2 linked regions of the Tribolium castaneum genome follow. The protein of the gene in region 2 purifies or fractionates together with the protein of the main gene of each other region. This does not show direct contact. Links are inferred from orthologs where the notes say so. Each region holds a gene or a part of one and is shown on either strand. Other genes may lie near its edges.

Region 1 (11,253 bases), on a different chromosome or scaffold from region 2:
AGCAAAAGATGTCTTTGTTGGGCTGCAATAAAACATGAGAAAATAAAACACTGATCCCTACTACATTAGATGAAGAATATTTTATTTTAAGTAAGTTCAGGTCCATAAGGTATATGTCGGTGTATGGCATGCTGTCTTGTAATAAATATACAAGGTGTTTCCCACAACTTTACGAGACCTGCGCCTAGTGTTCGCACCCAAATATACAAAAGTCACAAAAATGCACATTTCATTTTATTTAATTTGTGAAAATCTATCCAGAGATGGGCAAAATCAGATTATAATGTAATTGCATTTTAAACTAATTACAATGTAATCTGATTAAGTACTTTGTATTCAATTATTTTTTTATTAGCTGTAAAAATTTACATATTAAATAAATTGAAAATTATTATCATTACATTATATTAACGGTTTCAAAACTATAAAAACGCCAACGTAGCATTTTCTCTCAAAATTAGCTGTTATAAATTATTCATACACTTCAAAAACCTAATAGCTAACGTAATTTATACTTTCAATGAGAGATCTAATCATTAATAACAATTCTACAATTTTATCAATCTTAATTAATAAAATATTTCGGTAAAATGCGACGTTGGCATTTTTATAGTTTTGAAACGGCTAATAGATTATTTTGAAAAATCATTCCACAAGGGGGTTAAAAAAGGTGATCAAGTTTGAATTAAAATGGCATTTTTTATGACACTGTCATATAAAAAATGAAAAAAAAACATGTTTCATGCTTTTTTAAAAATTCCACCCCTAAGCGAAGAACATGACCGACGGGGGCGCTGCGATCGCTGGAATATGGCGGTTGTGTCACTGGCGCCATACGGATTTTTGTACAGTTTTGTAATTTGTGACTCTCTTATTTGTATTTGGTGCATAATAAACTAATAGAGGTGTCGCTTTAGAACGTTTATACTTAACCCCCCTGGAAGATGCCTGAAGATTAAAATTTTAAAAAGAATGAAACATGTGTTTCTTCATTTTTTACCGAAGGCCTAAATAGTACGATGGCGAGCAAAAAGTTTCGGACACATTTGACGTTTCGCTGACATAAACGTGTGTAATTCCCTATCCTTCTTGACAATGAAATGTTAAAAGTGCCCGAAATTTTTAGACAAGACCGGAGTCAAAATTTTAGAAAAACTTAACATTATCTCCGTTAATAAAAACATTTTATTAAGACGATTTAGGCTAAAACTATGAAGAATAATGCATAGAGCCTCGTGTTAAAAGAAACATCTCAACTTCGTAAACACCTTGTATATCTTCAAAAATGTCGAATTTTCATATTGAACCCTCTACAAGTGGAATTTCCAAAAAACCTAAAACAAGTTTTTCATTTTTAAGCAAAAGCCCAAATACTAATTTTCCATAGTTCAAATTAAAAAAAAAAAGATTTTTTATATAAAATTTAGCCCCTGTTTAACCCCCTTGAAGGTAGAATTTTCAAAAACCTGAGAGCTTCATTAATAGTCGTAAAGTGCTTTTGTTCAGGTACAACTATCATTTGTTCTATTAGGTGACGGGATGAATATGATTCTAGTCTACTTGCTATTTTAAAGTTATAGTCAAATTAAAACTTTCTGTGTTTCCGTGTTATTTTGTGTTAAATTGGTTAATTTTAAGTGTGCAGTCATTTCATTAAATACATCAAAACCATATTTCTAAAATTTTCATATCACTTGTTCTCCGTTTCAAAACTATGGAAATACCAACGTCACATTTTCTCTTCTTATAAATTATTCATTTGCACTTCAAAAAATTAATAGCTGTCTCATTTCAGTTCTTAGTAGAAAATGGCAACAGCGCCTTTGCATTTTTTTTAGTAGAATAGAGCACAAATTGAGAGTTTCTGTGAAATAATTCAGTGTTAAATAGAATCCCAGCGATAGAGCCAAGAGAATTCAAAGCGAAAATTAGTTTTAAAAATTGACAGCTGTTGCTAAATGTTTGAACCGGACCATAATGCAATTTATATACTTATTAAAACAAATAATTCGGTAAAATGCAACGGCGGCACTTCCGTAGTTTTGAAACAGAGAGTATCCATCTATGTTTTTTATAGACACTCTGTATAAAAATAATGTAGATGTCACTTGTTACGTGATTGGCAAAGTTCTTACATACCACAAAATAATCTAAAATTAGTGAAGATCTACGTTTTTGTTGAATGAACTATTTTACAAAAAGTTGTAATTTTACTTATCATAATACGTGACGTAAAATATTAGCGCAGTATCTAAAAAACAGTTGTTAATTTTACACAACTAAAATATGCCAACATGCGCTTGGTGTATATTTACAACCTTGTACTCGAGACAACAACTGTAATAACACTTTTTGTGTAATACAACGTTAATGAAACCTGTTTTAGATCAGGGCCTTTTGCTGGAAACGGCAAGAAAGGCTTCAAGCACCATTTAATTGTAAAAATATATTTTTTTGTTGACATTTGAACAGTTTGTGCAACGTGTGAAAAACAAATCACAGCCAACTATCACTCGCACGATCGTGACAAGTTGGCGTTTTTTACAAACACTTGCGTCCACTTTTCTTGTTTATAGCTCAAATGAGCACTAGTTTGAACACAATTTGTGTATTTCTGAGCCGCCTTACCTTCCTTGCCATGATAAAATCGTTGTTATAAAACTGCAGCCCCCTCCTTGCCTCATCGGCGGTGGCGCCCTCTGCCCCGCTTTCGCCTCCGAAGCTCGATTTTCGTTTCTTCGCTTTTTTCTCGTCGATTTTCACGTCGTAATTTTCCAGCTCGCTCTCGGCTGTAACAGGAAAACTCGTCATTTTGGGTGATTTTTTCGGCGTGCCCTTGACTTTGTCTAGCGTTTTGCGTCTGTTTGTTGACAGATTGGTGTCTAGCTTCGCCTCTTTAGACAAAGCGAGAATGGATTTGAGCTCGCGGCTGGTTTTGGGGGTGCTGGTGTCGTCAGGGGACTCACTTGGCGGTGGGGGCTCCTCGGGCGGCGTTGGGGGCTTGTCGTCGCCGTTCTGGGGCTCCTCGGGAGGTGGAGCGGGCGGTTCGGCTTCCGGCGGCGGCGGCGGGGGCGGCGCAAGGTCGAGCTGCTCGCTTTCGGACATTGTCGTGGGTTATAGTGATCTAGCAAATGCACAGTTGGTATTGTTTGGTTACAAACGACTTGAACTCGATGCACAATGGAAGGGAAATGCGCGTTTTACAGCCGTGGAAAGCGGTTCATTGCGGGCTCGGAGGAAAATTCGGCCACTTTTCAGCACTAAAGCCGGCTTTCGGCAACTCGCTACACTTCTTCGCTCTTATTTACATAACCTAGAATAAAACCCTTTCTGTTAGCTCTACACATGTTTGGAGCGACTGACTTGGAAAACATCGTCGTAGCAAGGGGTTTTACTCACCGTCTAGCTTAATTTTCATTGGAAAAGCTCATTATTGATGAAAAATCAGCATTATCGATAGTAGAGAATGCATCACATTCACAACACTTCCACTGTATTTATAATATTTGCCGTTGGGGGCGCTGATGTTAATGTAACTTGACTGGAGTTCAGCGTTTGGTGTAGGGGAGAGGAAGGAAAAGTGGGTCACATGGTTTTTTCTTGAAACTTTACGTCACGGCTTCACATCGTGTCTGACGTAGGTATCACGTGACACAACCTTTGAAAAAGTCCCCAGTTGTTACTGCATATACTTGATTTTAATAATATTTATTTAGTTATAAATTGCATATGCCTTAGAATTAAAATTAAAAGAAAATTTAAGAATTCTGTGTTATAATTTATAATGATCCGAGGGATAAACAGCAGATCTAAACTTAAACACCATACTTCCTGTACCTTGTGCAAACGCCTTAGCTTTTATACCTCTGCTGTTAGCTACCCTTATTTCAAAATTTTAAATGAAATCCCCTACGTTTTGTAACAGTTTTGAAAACTTGCAAAAAACCTTATCAAACCGTGAAAAAAGATTATCGATTCGTTTATATATTGGGGGATGTTTTATTTTTGCAATTTTGAACTCTAATAGTAGTACTACATATCTGATTTAGAGTCAATTTAATTTAAACAAAAAACTAGTGGGTTACTGTGAAGGGAAATTTCAAAACAAACTCCAAGTACCTACTCGTCAAAAACTACCCTTAATCGATATGCTCCTTTGTTAAATTAAATTGGTTTAAGAATTAAACGTTTTAGGTTTAGGTTTTTAAAATAAAACCACTCCTAACTCAAAAACGAAATATAAATCTTCAGTTTGTTTTATTTACACAAGAGCATTAGAAATCAGGTGACATGCGTCTTAACTTTTGGGCTTGCGCAGTGGTGTAAATTTATAGATAAAGGTAAACTCCCAGTACATCCCCGAAATCCCTGTAAATCCTTAAACTTGCACACCATACATCCACAGCTGTTTACAGGTCGTAATGGTTATAAAATAATATAATCAATTTTTATGTAATGTAGAGTCACAAAATATGTATTATTACAAAAAATCATCGATAAACACTTTCTCATGTTTTTTAACAGTAGGTATAGAGAGAATTATTATTGTAAAAATAGTAAGTCCTGTTAGCCTTTTTCAATATTATGTTTTCGCCTAAGATTCCGCATCCAATACCCTTTATGCTTCGTCCTAAACTGACAAACATTATTTTCTTCCAAGCGAAATTGTGGAGATATACTAAAGTAATATTTCATGACAACAATGCAATGGGGCCAGAAAATGATTAGTCTGCAGTAAAAAAGATGTTTATTGCTCACTTCGTCTCACTTTTCAGAACAGATGTTACCATGAGCAGACATGGGGCCTAAGCTGAAGCAAGCCCAAAGAAACCCTAACTTGCGAATCATTTTCTGTCGTCAACTGCACTGTTATAAAATATTACTTTAGTCAATCTTAACTACTCTGCTTGGAAGATAATACAAAATAACTATTTAATATTATTATTGGTTTTAAAATGAGATTTGTGACATACAATAAGGGCCTTACGTTTCACCAAATTATTCTATAAAGTTAAGTGAAACATTTAAACCTGTTCTGATATGTAATGTTCTAAAAACATGTTTTTAAACAGCGTCTTGAAAATAGTCTGTGCAACAGACATTTAATGAGGTTGAAAGTATATGGTGGTGCAGTGTGTGATCTTTTAAATCGCCGGCTTTATTTTTTGCATCATATGAACATTCGCGACATTTAAATATATATTGTTTACAGTACTGAAATAACCATGTCTGTTACTAATAGCAAGTTTTAGAAACACTAATACAAAAAACGTCTCTAAATTGCAACTAACGCAAGCTGTGAATGGAATCACACATTTGATTCAAAGGCACATGTTTAATGTGTGTATAGTGTATCTTATTCAATGGTGTCCCTTTAAATGTAGAAACTGGTTCGTCTCAAAGGAATAATCACGACATTTGTGCTCCTCAAGGGGCTGCTACAACACTAAACTGGCTTAGTGTCTTCCTCAGGCAACAGCTGTTTAATCATTTTCGTCTTCGATTTTTTTATCAATCTGAAAAATTTCTAGGTTAAAAAAGTTGTAAATTGTTTTAGTTTTACTGACCTGTTCCATTTCTTGGCTTTGGGAGAGCTTATCACATACTTTATTTTGTATTTATTACTAAATTCGTCTAATTGCCTTTCATGTAGGGGGGCTTTATAAAGGCCAGTTCTGTTGTTGAAATTTCATGACTGACATCTAGTGGAAAACATTACTGTCAGTGAACAGGTTGCCATGAACGTACACCTACTTCCGTTTCTATAAAATAAACCCCCCACATAAAAAAATCTGTTTTAAATAGTTATTTTATTTTTAAACATAAACTTATTACAGTTCAGCCGTAACAATATTTTCTAAACATTAATCATGTATTCTTATAACGTACTTCTGGCTTAAAAAAATGTAGAGTCGTTAAGCAATTTGTCTTATAGATTTGATACGGAGTATACTCCACCGCACGTATAGTGGGTTGCCTGACAATTATTCAATTATGCTTTCAACGACACAGTGAGGTTATAGCGCCACTTTTTTAATTTTTATGGGCTTAATTATACACAAAATATGGCCCACAACATTCATGGAACATTTGTTTCTGAAAAAGTTAATAAAATCCGTTGGAGGCCCGATTTTATGAATGCCTCGCATTATTTTGTAACCGGCAGTTGGGACAATGACCAAAACAGCATCAAACTTTGGGATTTCCAAGAAAATGAAGAAGATGCCGAAGTTTATCCATTTCTGGTGGCTGAATTTCCACACAACGGGGACATAACTGAAGTTAAAGTATGTATATTACAATCAGTATTGCGATACGAGCCACGTAGCGAGTGAAACAATTTTTGTCATTTTTTAGTTCTTAAACGGCGATTTTTTCGTTGCTTCTTCGTCGTCGGGCTGCGTCAGTCTGCTGAAGATTACTTCCGAACATGGAATTGATCCCTTAATTGAGAGAAAAATTTACTGGGAGGGAGTTCACAAATTTCCCAATGGGGAGAATTGCCCTTGCACTGCCTTTTGCACCTACGACAACGATATTGTGAGCGTTGGCGAAGACGGTTCTATCAATTTGTTAAATGCCCAAAACCAAAACGTTATCCGCACAATTGAAAACGCCGATAGTTGCTCAATTCGTTGTGTGGCTTTTCTGAAGCATAGCGAAATTTTGACCGGTAATTTTCGTGGACAATTGAAGATTTTCGATATTCGGGCCCCTAAAAGCCAACCCGCGACCACTTTCATGTTGAGTGGGGATCAAATCTCGCCATTGTGTCTCCAAAACCACCCTACACAGAGGCATTTGGTGGTAGCTGGCGATGAAGAAGGTACCTATTTTTTTTTTATTTATGTTGGCAAACGCCAAAAATGGTGCCAACTTAAAGGTATTGGCAACTTTCTTTTAAATGATACCAAAATAGTTATTTACATTATACGTGCGGTAGGTATAATTTTACAGCGTGAAGTTTTAATAAAATTGAACGCTGTAAAATGAGTCGTCTAGTTCCAAAACCTGCCGTCTCTATTCAGTATTTTTGTTTAATGTTTAATACAAATGCTGTTGAACAAATAAATTTTAAATTACACTGATATAAAACCTCTTAGAGAGTAGAATTCGATGACCTATACTTTAATTACAATGTTTGAATTTAAAGCCTGCATTTTTTTTAAGGTTGGAGGTGGCAAGTTTTGGAACAAGTTGGAGAGGAGATGGGCGGTTATGGAACAAAATGTCTTTTAAAAATCCTTTTTTTAAGACTAGATAGTGAAATGGAATAAAAAAACTCAAACTACGTATTTGCTGAAATAACATGTGGCTAAAGTTTTAAGTCTTTTAAGGCAAACACATAACTCCAAAAAACAACGCGGAGATAGTTGATTTTGGAACGCATATATAAGATTACTTTACGTAAAGAAATGACATTGATATTTCAAACTTTAATGCAGTTGATGTTAATAACTATTTTTTGTTAGTATTTAGTCCGCCAGATAATTGTGCTAAATCCACATTATCATTAGTACGCAAAAAAATCAACGATAATGGTTCCTTTCGTCTTCAGCTTGCTGCTGTTGATGAAGTTTATGAAATAGTTATAGTGTTGACGAAAATATTTTTATTTTTGATGTTGTGTATAGTTCTGCGTAACTGGCTATGTCTATACCATAAACCAATGAAAACTTCCACAAAACCGCATCAATTATTTTGGGCATCTTCTTAGTACCTGCAAGAGGCTCATTATCTTTTAGGATTCCTTCTTGTAAACAACAATGATCAAAATAATAACTGCAATTGTGGGGTAAGTTTTTGTTGGTTTGCGGTTGACATAGCAAGTAATGTGAGAACTATAAGTATATACCCTATATATACTCAAAATTGACGCCCATGCTTTTAGGATTTGCTTCAGAAGACTAAAACAAATCGAAAGTTAAGAGTGAAAAATTGTCCAATTGTCCTTCGTTATCGAGTTATTGATAAGTATCTAAAATTTAAAATTTGTACATTAAATTTTATTAAAAGCGAATTTACCAAATTTGTTGTCACAAAGTATGCTATAATGCGATTTGGAAACTTTTCCGTGTAGGCCCTAGTCTCAGCAGTGGCATTGCCATCATACAAACATCTTACTTATAACCGAGCTTTTAACATATCGTCAAAATTTCGAATACACTAATAAAGTGGTATCTTATCATTTAACACATACAAAAACGAAGGAAATTAATAATACTCTTTACTAGACACAGTTATTCAAAGAATTTTAATATCGCTAACATCAACTAATCAATTATGTTGCACAAATAATTGGAAAGACAGCTAAAGCTTATTATTTACATTTTTATCAATAACTCTAAAACGAACAATTGGAAAATTTTTTACTCTTAACTTTCGATTTGTATTAATACCCTAAATCAAACTGCCATAGCACAGGCGTCAATTTTGAGACTTTTACTTGTTAGAACGTAATCTATTCAACATTTTTCAAACGAGCGTAAATGGTTGGCTTGGTTAAACGAAACTGATCGAAGAAATTTACATCACTAACAATTTCAAAATAATTTTTCTTTTTCTATAAATTTTTTGTCTTCGCAGTTCGGAAGAAGATAATGAATTAGAAGAAAAAATGAACACTTTCTTAATTTTGTGCAATTCAAAAAACTGACAAATTTAACGTTTGTTAAAGTTGCTTTTGTAATTTGCCGCCGTCTTTACGTCTTTACCTAATCATTATTTGACGAAATATTTTACGAAAATTTTTAGGTTGAAACGCATTTTAAAAATTGAAGTCACTTTTAAAAGTTTAAGTTACTTTAAAATGATTTATGAAACGATCCTACTTCAAGTTATTTCGATATAAATTTGGGATTATGACGTCATAACCGTCTCTCGAGCATTATTTGGTCCAATTTTAAGATCAAATAGTTTTTGATCACTGCCAAAGAATATCGAAATGAAGACACAATTTCTGAGATATTTTCGCAAAGTGCAAGACAAAATTTAGAACAGGTAGGAGTTTGGAAAGTAGTTATTTTTTTGATTTTGTAGAAGATATGTGAAAAATATGTGATTAATAAAAGGTTTCTGTGATGAGAGGCGGTTGTGACGTTAAGGCTTCACTTATTTTTTGCTGCAGAAAATTTTGAAAAAAGTCTCTATAGTTCCAATTTCCGTTAAAAGATAAATTAGGTAAAATACAATGTGTTCAAAAATGGTGGTTCATCAAGTTAACTATTTTAAATTTAAATTAAGCGGCACATTACGTTCAAATTTCATATGTGACTTGATGAACGAAGTTTTTTGAGCACATTTTATAAGTTGCCACTGCCTTCAATTTTAGTCATAGACCACTCTGATCAGAATTCGAAATATGTTATTTACTCCGTTTCAGGTTCGATAACGATATGGGATTTGCGCCAAAACACATATCCTGTGAATGTGTTGGATGCTCATGAGGGAGGCGTTATGGAAATACACTTCCATCCAGATCATCCTGACCAGCTATTCACTTGTTCCACTGATGGGGATGTTTGGCATTGGTCGCCTAAATGTGGCAGTGCCTCTAGTTTGCTGAATGGGGAGAATGTTTGGTTGGCATCCGAGGCTATCAAAAATAAGTTGGATGTTTTTACGCTCATGCCTAAATTGCACAAACCAATCAATAGTCTGGATGTTAACAGAAATAAGGTTCTTTGTGGGTGCGATAACGAGGCGGTTTATTTAATCAATGGAGTTAATGTTTTTAAGTAATTGTTTTGTACAAAGTTTCTAATAAAAAGTTGAACCACTATTTGGTTGTTGGCATATACGTGATAGCTGGAGGTCGTTATAATGGGTTCGTTATAACCAGACTCTACTGTATTATATCTTTGTTGATCATATCATCAGCATTTTACTAAGGTGTTTTAGGTTAAAACTTAGAAATAAGAGCAATATATACTACCACTTGTTAAAAAACACCACAATTTCACATTTTGTATATTTTTAATTTCGCATTTGTTGGAATTCGCTTTTGACCGACAATAATAACTAACCTCATCTACTTAACCTAACATTTCTCAACGTTATATTTTCGTTCAAAGCGCCGCAATGCCTGTCTCTAGCGATGTTGTTCGTAAAGAAACCCCCATGGAAATTATATTTGTACGTATCCCGTTTCAAAATTAGTCCAAAATAACTGCGAAAATTCCAGACAGACGAAGACCTCCCTTACGAAGAAGAGATCCTCCGCAACCCCTACTCTGTGAAGCACTGGCTGCGCTACATTGAGCACAAGAAGAAGGCCCCGAAGCACGGCGTTAACATAATTTACGAGCGGGCCCTTAAAGAGCTCCCCGGCTCTTACAAACTTTGGTACAACTACTTACGCACTCGCCGCCTCCAGGTGAAAAACCGCTGCATCACAGACCCCGCATTCGAGGAAGTCAACAACGCTTTTGAGCGCTCCCTTGTTTTCATGCACAAAATGCCGCGAATTTGGATGGATTATTGCAGTTTCCTGACCGATCAGTGCAAGATAACGCGGACTCGGAAGGTTTTCGACCGGGCTTTGAGGGCGCTCCCGGTGACCCAACACCACCGGATTTGGCCCCTTTACCTCACATTCGTCAAAAAGCACGACATTTCCGAGACCGCTGTGCGCATTTTTCGCCGGTATTTGAAGCTCAGTCCGGAGAATGCGGAGGAATACGTTGAGTATTTGACCGAAGTTGGGCGTTTGGACGAAGCCGCCGTTGTGTTGGCTAAGATTGTCAATGATGAGAATTTCGTGTCACAGCACGGGAAGTCCAAACACCAGCTCTGGAACGAGTTGTGCGAGTTGATTTCGAAAAATCCCGAAGAGGTGCATTCGTTGAATGTTGATGCGATTATCAGGGGCGGCTTGAGGCGGTACACTGATCAGTTGGGGCATTTGTGGAACTCTCTGGCTACGTATTATGTCAGGAGCGGGTTGTTTGAACGGGCGCGGGATATTTACGAGGAGGCGATTCAGACGGTTACAACTGTGCGGGATTTTACGCAAGTCTTTGACGCCTATGCACAGTTTGAGGAGTTGACGTTGAGTAAACGGATGGAGGAGGTGGCGCAAAAGCCCAATCAGACTGAAGATGATGATATTGAGTTGGAGTTGAGGCTGGCGAGGTTTGAGAATTTGATGGAGAGGAGGCTGTTGCTGTTGAATTCGGTTCTCTTGAGGCAGAATCCGCATAATGTGCAGGAGTGGCACAAGCGAGTGCAGCTGTATGAAGGTACGTTTGTAAA
Region 2 (10,013 bases):
CGGACAACAACCGCAAGCATTCGGCCAGGCGCCGGCTTTCGGACAAACAACACCAGCTTTCGGATCGACCAACACGACAAGCACTCCGACTTTGTTCGGAAAACCGAACACTTTCGGCGCTACCACTAGCACCCCAAGTTTTGGGTTTAATGTCACACCGGCAACCAACCCTTTCAGCGCTAATCAAGGCGCCAAACCCTTCTCCCAACCCCTGTTCGGGACACAAACCACGCAAGCGCCCGCCACCTTCGGGGCCGGCGTTTTCGGCCAAACGAACACCCAGGTAAGCGCGGTTTTACTTCAAATTTCCGCGATTTTTGTGCTTTTAAGTGCGATAGTGCACGATAATTTTTACTTTAATTATAAATTTATATATCGTCGTTTATAAAAATTTTATTAGGATTATAATTTTGCAAGATATTCAGTACTTATTTATTAAGTAAAGTATTTTTGACCTTCTAAAGCTTATAAAGAATTATATAATGTAAATTAAAATGCATTAAAAATAAAGTAAAACAAATCAATGCACTGACCTTATGGCATTTCCCATCGCATCATCTTCTTAAACGGACCTACTGAAATAAAAACAATGAAGTTAGAACAATACGCCTCTAAATTAGTTGAAAATATTACAGATTTAATGTAATTTTTATGAAAGTGTTGCAAACTAACCCTTTAATCCGGATTGTTTCTTCCTTTTTCTCCCTGGAAATCCATTCTAGTAGCACACACTAACCACTAGCCGCACACGTTCAACACGCACTAGCAACGAATTTAAATTTTTAAACTACAAAATTTTTATTCACGTATTCGCGACAACAGTAAGTAACAAACTGATTGAAATTAAATGGCACATTAATTGTGTAATGTGGATAAAATGCCACCAACAAAAAATATAATCTGCTAGATAATGAATTGTGACAAGGTGGCAAACAAAGAGGTTGTTAGGACTTCGCTATTTAACGTTTTTTGCGGTACCTACCTGAAACATATACAGGAAGGTGCATTTTTAAGGTCAAGTATTCGTAACTTTATTACTATTAAAAAGTACACAGTTCTACCTGTGTAAAAGTACAGAGATTTTATAAAATAAATATTTCCGCAACTCAGGTATCGAATAACCAAAAAAAAAAATTGCTTTAAAATGAATTGAATTAGAAAGTATGAAACTACTTTGCAATATTTGCGAATAAAATACGCTACGTTGGTAAAACGTAGATCAAAAAATCTAGCTTTTGATTTGTTCCCGTTCTAGAATCCTGCGACCAATTTGTTTCAAAAACCGGCGCAGCCCACCACTGGGTTCAATACCGCCCAGACGGGCTTTTCATTTAATCAAACGGGTACGACCCAGAGTTCGAATTTGTTCCAAGTTTCGAAACCCAACACCGGTTTCGGAATTTTCGGCCAAACTAACACGGGAACGACTGGGTTTGGCCAAACGAGTCAACCAGCTTTTGGCTCAAATTTCGGCAAACTAACCCCTAGTACGTTCACACAACCTACTCAACCTACATTTGGTACGAACTTGACCACCGGCTTGCAACAACAACCACTGTTCGGTGCTGCGACGGCAAAACCGCCGAGTCTTTTCGGCGGCACGACAACCGGAAGTGGTAGTCTTTTCTCTAATAATGTTTTTCAACAAACGCCGGCTTCGTACTCACTTAATCTCAACCAGCAACAACCTGCGTAAGTGGTTTTTGTCGGTTTGAAGAGTTTTATTGAATTTGCGAAACTTTCAGTCACTTTCCGCCAGAATCGGGCGACGACAATAAAAGTATCTCGCTGCTTGCAACTGATAGCTTTCCCGATGGGCCGTTCGTTTACGGTCTGGAGCCTAAACTTTTAGATTCGAGTAAAAGTACCACGAACCCGCAGGATATTAAGGCGCTTTTGGATTATTCGAAAAAGAGGGATGAGAGTGCAGGGGCGGGGTCGAAAATCAAAGTTGACTTGCCGAGACCTAAACGAGTAAGTGCTCGTATTGTTTTTGTCGCTGTGTTACTATAATTATTTGTAGGGTACTAACTACAATAAAGAGTTTTTCGAAACGAGCCAGATGCTTAAAAGTTCACATAAATGCCTCGTTATTCGTAAATTCAACGACAGTAATTCCACTATTTACAATAAATACAACAATGAGCTTATCGAGGAAGCTGAGGAGTGTATCAAAGCATCGCCACCAAGTGAGGCCGGTACTTGTGTAATTTTGAGCCCGCGGAGTCTTGTCACTGAGAATGACTACACGGAAGATCTGACCGAGACAGATATCACCAAAAGCAGGAGGAGTTTGAAGTTGCAATTCGACCCATCGGTCACTGACAGCGCCAGAACGAACAAGTCGTCCTATTCGTTCGACGATTCTAGTTACAGTCCCAAAACAGGTTCGAGCAAAACTAGCTTGAGTGAGTCAACGACTGCAAAGTCAACTCCTCGGTTCGGCAACGGGAGTATAGGGATAAACGACGACGAGACAATCACGGACACGGTTCCTGAACTAGCTTTGACTGTGTCGACGACTGACACAGAAAGTACCGAGAATCCCGCCGGTGTGGTACTGACACGACCGGAGTACTACATGTACCCGGCTTTGAAAGACTTGCATCAATACATGGATGAAAACGGCGACTGTATCGTGCAAGGACTGACGATTGGGCGTCGGGGTTACGGCAATGTCCATTTCCCCGACCTGATCAACATCGCCAACATGAACCTGGACGAAATCGTACATTTCCGTCACCGTGAAGTGATTATTTACCCCGATGATAACAAAAAACCCCCAGTGGGCGAAGGTCTAAACCGGCGCGCTCAAGTGACCTTAGACAAAATTTACCCGCGGGAGAAGGGAACCAATAACTACATCACCGACGTCAATCAAATCATCCAAACCAATTTCGTCGACAACCTCATGCATGTCACGCAAAAGCACAACAGCAAGTTCGTCGATTATAGGCCCAACACCGGGTCGTGGGTCTTCAAAGTGAAGCATTTCTCCAAATACGCGTTCACGGACAGCGACGAGGAGGAATGCGAAGTCTCGGCGGATAAAACCGTCACTAAGAAGGCGCAAGACCTTTTGAAAAAGCTTGATGTAAGTAGATATTTTCCTCTGGGTGTGGGGGTCTTATATCTGTTGAAGAAGGTGGACGAGGTGCCGCCACTTGGGTTAGGGGGCAGTGCCCAGGTAAGCAAAACGCGACTCATGCAGGACTCGGAGGGTTTCGCCTCCGAGCCGACGTTACTCGACTTCTGGCCCGAAGAGGATCAATACACCATTTCGGAGGAGATGTACCACACAGAATCGTCGATCCAGACGCTCAAGTCGTCGCTTTTTGTCAATTTGGAGAGTCAAGAACCGAAGAAGACGCAAAGTGTTCTCAAACAACAGCTAATCCCGAGCAAGGTTATTGTGACGCCTAAGGTCTACAAACTACCGGATATCAGACGTAAGTGTGCAGGAAATCAGCATTCTAAAGTAGATTATTTCCATGGCCCTTAAAACAGCTCGAATTGTTCCAGTAACTATTGTGTTACCAGTTTTTTCTAAAATATTACAGCGTGTCTATTACGTACGATTAAATAATTTTCAGTTTGTTATATAATATTTTAATAGTATTTTTGTTTTCTAAGAAATAAAGCTATATTTGTTTATTTATTTAGTGGCAATCGTTCCGGAAAAAGTCACCACAACTCAAAAGTGTTACACGGAGATGGGCGTCTTCCGCTGCAACACGTATAAAGTGGGGTGGGGGAAAGGTTTCAATTTCTATAACTATGATCCTGTTGCTGACAACGAGGTGGTTTATGCCCTCACTCATTGTAACGTCGATGTCATGAATGCGAACTCAGCAATGGTTAGTTGTGCGTTTGTGTTATCTTATCATGTGTTGTATAATTTGATTGTAGCCAAACTTGACTGATTTACTTAAAGTAACCCTTGAGGAAAGTGATATCGTGCTTGATAATAACCAAATACCAACTCTTCGTATTAAATGCGACTTGAATTACCTGCAAAAACAAACCGATTTATTCAACGATTACGTAAAAACTCAGCCACTGTCAGGCCGGGAAAAGTACTATTGTAGCGTTTGGAATTTGTGTTTGGCGCTGTGGGGACCGGGCGATAACACGCCTTGTATGCGAAGACAGTACGTCAGTGACTGGTTGAGAAAATTTTCGTACGAGTTATCCGGCGACGTAACTTTGCATGACCGAATCGGTCGTGACGAAAGTGAGGCATTTAAAACGATTTTCAAACTATTGTCATTCCATAAAATTGCTGAAGCGAGCGAGTTGGCCGGTAGCAACAATTTGAGTCAGTTGAGTCTGCTGATCAGCCAGATGAGTGCCAACGAGAGGGTGAAAGCCTGGTTGAGGAAATACGTGGAGAGTTTTGAATGGAGGGAGAGGGATGTAATCACTGATGATTTCAAAAGATTGTATTTGCTTCTTGCCGGCATACCGGTGCATGAAATTATAAACACTTGTGAGGATCTGGACTGGATGAGGAGTTTCGGGGTGCATTTGTGGTACGTGGCCCCAGCTGCAGCTCCGATTAGTGTGGCGTTTAATTTGTATAAGAAAGCGTTTGAGGAACTTGACTATGCAGCAAAGCCGGTACCGCCGCACTGCGAGGCTGATTCGCCAGTAAAACACTACGATATTCTCTACCAAATTTTGACGCTTTATGTTGATGGTACGCATCAATTATGTAATGTTTTGCATCCCGAAACACACACTGATAATCTCATGGACTATCGGCTTAGGTAAGTTTGCAAAAAAACAAACAGTTTTGTGTAAATTGAATATTGTAGTTGGTTTTTGCTTCAATTGTTTGCGTCATTGCGAGTCGGGTTGATTCGCGAGTCGGAAAAGGATCACTTGCACACAACGTTCGCCACCCAGTTGGAGAACTTGGGCCTTTGGAAGTGGGCGATCTTCTGCCTCCTCTTCCTTGAAAACAACTTGTTGAAAAAGAATCTGGTGATGAGAATCCTTGATAGGAATCTCTCGACTCGAACCGAGTCAGTTGAGAGAGAACTTGTGAAGACTTTCAAAATTCCCGCATCTTGGATCCACGAAATCAAAGCTACGAAAGCCAAAATCGCCGGTCGCTACTACGAGTACTTCCAGCACTACATCTACATGGGGAAGTGGCAAGAGGCCAATGCCGCTTTTATTGACAATATTTTACCCGAGCTGTTCATTAACGAACAGTACGACTATTTGAATAGCTTTATCAATAAGATCCAACCGTATTCCAATCTCCTAGTGAACTGGAACACGCAGGTTGGACTTGTTAAGGAATTTCTGGAGTTGCAAGAAACATTGGGTGGAAGTACCGAAGTGTCGTCCGTTGGGGGAAAACTAGCTTCCTTGTTCCGAAGAATTAACTGCTTTCCGACTAATAACGACAAACAGAAGCTGTTCGTTGTTGAACTTTCGCGAAAATGTGCCTTGCTGTTTAAGATTTTTCACAAGAGTTTAGATAATCCGGTGTTCCAAGCCAAGTTTGTTGAGATTTTGAACAATCTGGCCATGCCTCCTGATATTAAGCATTATGAGTTCTTTCATCTGTTCAACAAATTCACCGTAGAGGAGCCAGAAATTCGTTAGTTATGTATTTTTAATAATTGTCATTTTATGTTTATTGTAATTCCTTTCTGCTTAATAAATATGTTATTGTGGACGAGTGGTTTTAATAAAAACGTACGCGATGGATTAAGGAGATTCATTAAAGAAGTACATACATTAAAAAAATAGTATTTCACACACACATTTCGTTTATTGGAAGTCATTCTCGAGATCATTCTCGTTATACATCTTGCTTTCTTCTAAGTAAACACTCGACTTAAGGCTGTGGTGAACTTCAATCAGTTCAAACAACGACTGGAAAAACTCTATTGTGCAAGCCAACGTTCCGTCCCGCAGTTTTTTAAACCCTTTATCTGCAACCACGGCCGGTTTGTGTTCAACGCGGCAAATGCAAAAATACAAACCTATCGGTTTCATCTTCCCTTGGATTAGCAAAGTTTGCTGCGAGCATGCGGCAATTATCCGTTTTATCAAATCCTCCTGATTCTCTTTACTAATCGGGTTAATTTTACTGACAAATCGGAGCAAATATTCCATGAAATAGCCTTCTTCCTGGAACAAAAAACTAGTTATATTGCGTCCTCACAGAGGATACATACAGCTGGAAACTTCTGGAAGCAGACTTCAGGTTGCTTGTAATTGACGACAATGTTTTCAAAAAACTCGCGTTTCATGACCGGATGCTTCAGACTCTCGATCCACTCAAAAAGCAGCATCGCTAAAATCCTCAAGTCCGTCTCAATCGCAAGCTTCGCCCACCCGACTTGGGACGAATTAATTTCGATTTGAAACTGTCTCACTTTCTTTTTGATCTCATTCGATAGCGTTGAATAATCCAGTAATAGTGCATCGACTGCGACATTTATGTCTTGGATAACTATTGATTCCTCACTCATTTCTTGATTGAAACACTTTTGTGTTTCCAACTCTTGAAAACATCGATTTTCTATTAAAAGTTCTTCCCTTATTTCGTCACCGTCTAGGGTGCTCAATTCGGAAAACGAGTCGCTCGGGTCGCCATTCTCGGAAGGGTTTGGACTAGAAGGTGAAGAGATTTCTTCAGGAGACTTTAATTCGTTGGAAAAGAGCGCTGAAAAGCGGCATAAGCCAAAATAAGCGCACCAAACGACTCACAATCGGAGTTCGTGCTGCACAAGCTGTAGGTACTTTCGTATCTTTTGATGTTCCCGTTGAGTTTCGTGTAAAGGAAATCGAAGGTGAGTGGCGTGTTTGACGAGAATTCGTCAATCCAGCAGCCACACAGCTTCAAAATCCGCTCGCAAATGCAGTGGACGATCTTCGGTATGAATTTGAAAGTGCGTTCCTCGTAGCCGTGGAGGATGACCCTCTGCCTGTGCAGGAACCGCACCAAGCTAAACTCACTCATATATTTGTTTTTGTTGATGTTTTCTCTGAAACGTTAATTTTGGTTTCGGGACAATACCCAGTTAACATACTTGAGACAGTAGGTTATAGTTCGGGGAAGTACAAATTGTGCGAAATGGCGGACACATAAAATTTGTCCCCGGGTTTGGACCGACCCCGGCCTTTTCAACCGGACGTATCTTATGGCATCGTTTGCGCTAACTCGAAGCGAGTAAACCAAGTAACACGCTATCAGAACCCCAGTTCTCCCTAGACCTGAAAGTTGATCGTTTGATCAGAATATTTAATGCCCGTGGCCTTGAAACAGCGATGTTGATTATACATCATGTCAACACAGAAAATAAAGTTTTCTTGATAGCAATTAATAAAAAATGAACGTGGTGTTGGACCAATAAATATGATTGACGGCGTGTTTACACTACTTAATAAAATCAATACCAAATACAGAAATAAAAGTAACAAACTCATCAACTCGGTCATATCGCATGTTGCTTATATTCTTACCGGCGTGGCAGTGAATAGCCACGCGTCCTTCCGTTACGGCAAACGCCAGGACCTTCACCATGTTGAGGAGGCCCACCAGCGTGGCATCCCCGTAGTCCTTCCAGGCGAAATTGTAATAAAAAACTGGAAATGGGCATGGATTTTAAACTGTGCGACTTGAGTGTGACTAAAAATCCCCCATTAAAATAAATGAGGCTAATTAATTATGGAAAAAGTCGATATCAAAGCGCACTTTGCACGTCACGCGAGCATAATTGACCGGGAAAGGAATTTCCCACGGGATAAAAACCCTAATTCCCTTCGGGTAATTGGAAGCTTATTGGGTTTGTCGATTTCGGCCAAAGCTCGGCCGGTTTATAGTTAGAACAATGCGTAAATAATTTACCCTAATCGAATACGGTTCTTCATTAAATAAAGTTCAGATAGGGGTATTCAACAAGTCGATTCATTTACGAATCAATTCTGCCCGATTTAAATAGACAGTTGGGCTCAAGCACCAATTAATGATTAATTCGATTTAAACACGTTAACGGGGCGAATTCACGCGATTTTATGTAGGTTAACTTATCAGGTTTATACCCCTATGTTGTACGACCCGATTTCCTTATCAACGGACGAGAAATTTAGAAAATCTACATACGCGTAATAACTGACTGAAAGATTTATGACGGGGGTTTTTCGCATTTGCATTTTCCGGAAACGCTATTTTTATACTTTGTTGTTTTCGGGGGCCGATATTGTGGCAATGTTTTCCATTCGCAGACGTAATTACAGTTTTTTATTTATAGAATATTTTCTTTTCGGAATCAATACAGATAAAGTCTTTAGGTAATTATTTCGTGTAATCGCGATTGCCCACGAGGGAATTATCTCTAATTTCAGTTAGTTTTGTTTTTCGTGCAGGAAATGGTATTTATGTTGTTATGTCAACGAAAGCTCATGCACATTATTGAATAAATTTACTTATGGGTTTGAGTAGGTGAAAAGTAGTTCAAGTGTAAATATCGGATCGATTCCTCAACCGAATTAGCAATTAACATGCACACAAAAAGATGCGGTTGATAACATTGTTATGACTTACTATTGTGTTCCATGAATATATTTGGGTCGTAAGAAAAGCCCGATTCTTCCAGCGGTTGCCCGCAACTTGCATGCTCTCTCGGTGATTGTAAATTAATTATCGATTTTATTCCTAAACTAAAGAGGTATCATAATAACTAAATAATTTAGGAGCTCGGGTGTACCTTTCAAATTGTTGAATTATATTCTTTTGTACAATCACCATAGTACTAGGACGTGCCATCGCTAAAATATCGTCAGTTATCCTGCAAAAACGTGCCTCATGATTTATCACGTTAATTGCGCAATTTGAGGATTTTTATTCCAGGAGATACTCACCAATGTGAGTATATCCCCTGTATGGCCAAACTGTCGGCTTTCCAGTTTTCCGGATTTTCGTATTTACAATTAGTCCCGCCACAGAAAACGCTACACTGAATACCTTGCGGTGTCAACCGTCTTATATGATCAGATAATTTACTGTAGTTCGCTTGCACGGTTTCATTAGTCGCACTTTTAACTTCGTACAGTTCCATGGTAAAAAACTACATACACCCTCACCGCTTTATTTCAAAATGATACAATCAAACAAGCACATTTTTAATCGAGCTTTTAGCGCATGCTTGAATTTATTATTAGATATTATCTGCATAAAAGCTGAAGAATGGTCGCTAAGGTAAATATCCGACACGTCAGAAACACTGAAAAATAAAAATTATTTGCGCACTGCGTATACGGACGATTCGCCGATTTTGAATTAGTCATGTGGGGCAGGTAAACAGGGGCTGTTCGGGTCATAAGAAATATTCAAAAAATTGCGTACCGCGCTGTATTTTTTGTGCAAATAACAAACAAAGGTGAATTTTATTAGTTATTCTACTGGTTAATTAATAAATTAATAATGATTTGAACAAAAAAGTGTTAGTGTAGGCAACCAATTAAACACGCACTGCGCTAAAAATTGGAATTTTGGCGCTTGAAGAATAAAAACATGAAACCAGATTTAATTGAGTTTTTTATTGATTGAGTACCGTTTTGCATCACGTTGAGTAAATATTTGACATTTGGGATTCGAACATTGCCCAAGACCTGTTTGCATCAATTTTAATAAATTACGATTTCGCAATGCAAGTGATGAGCGAAACAATTAAAACCTGACCCTGGCTTACATTGAACAATTCCGACTTAGCGTTTGTCTCACGTTTAGCTCAATTTGTTTATACTCCAGACGTGATTAAATAAACCAACATTCCAAATCGGTTCGTTACAATTACATAATTGTAGCAGAAATGAACAAATCCATGGCGTAAAAGCGAAAGTATTAAATAAAACAGCGAAGGTCGTCCAGGTATAGCCGACTTGCTCAGATTGTACAAACTAGTCTTTGTGGGAGAAGTTATTTTGTGTGGTTCTTGTTGTGATGATCACGTTCTTTGGAATTATTCAAACTGCGACCAACACTTAAT

The links. Proteins that work in one complex are often made in the same cells at the same time.
Region 1: the proteins of Nup98-96 (region 2) and Nup43 purify together in Homo sapiens (affinity purification with mass spectrometry; 4 studies listed by BioGRID and IntAct, counting the BioPlex papers as one, with this or other methods). This does not show direct contact. The link is inferred for Tribolium castaneum from reciprocal best matches to the Homo sapiens genes NUP98 and NUP43.

What each region holds. Positions count from the first base shown.
Region 1 is NC_087398.1:14,039,189-14,050,441, reverse strand, and holds Nup43 (nucleoporin Nup43), read left to right. Parts: upstream 1-5,963; 5' UTR 5,964-6,065; coding exon 6,066-6,287; intron 6,288-6,357; coding exon 6,358-6,826; intron 6,827-9,382; coding exon 9,383-9,741; 3' UTR 9,742-9,781; downstream 9,782-11,253. Other genes in the region: MYND-type zinc finger-containing chromatin reader ZMYND8, read right to left, coding at 1-22, 2,629-3,105; fand (pre-mRNA-splicing factor syf1 homolog), read left to right, coding at 10,081-10,134, 10,184-11,240. UniProt on the Homo sapiens protein: Component of the Nup107-160 subcomplex of the nuclear pore complex (NPC). The Nup107-160 subcomplex is required for the assembly of a functional NPC.
Region 2 is NC_087403.1:3,504,472-3,514,484, reverse strand, and holds the end of Nup98-96 (nuclear pore complex protein Nup98-Nup96), read left to right. Parts: coding exon 1-283; intron 284-1,255; coding exon 1,256-1,692; intron 1,693-1,745; coding exon 1,746-1,974; intron 1,975-2,023; coding exon 2,024-3,094; intron 3,095-3,142; coding exon 3,143-3,449; intron 3,450-3,663; coding exon 3,664-3,857; intron 3,858-3,909; coding exon 3,910-4,769; intron 4,770-4,817; coding exon 4,818-5,619; 3' UTR 5,620-5,692; downstream 5,693-10,013. Other genes in the region: protein tyrosine phosphatase domain-containing protein 1, read right to left, coding at 5,788-5,951, 6,003-6,150, 6,198-6,688, 6,733-7,010, 7,056-7,239, 7,489-7,611, 8,570-8,685, 8,733-8,813 and 1 more. UniProt on the Homo sapiens protein: Plays a role in the nuclear pore complex (NPC) assembly and/or maintenance. NUP98 and NUP96 are involved in the bidirectional transport across the NPC. May anchor NUP153 and TPR to the NPC.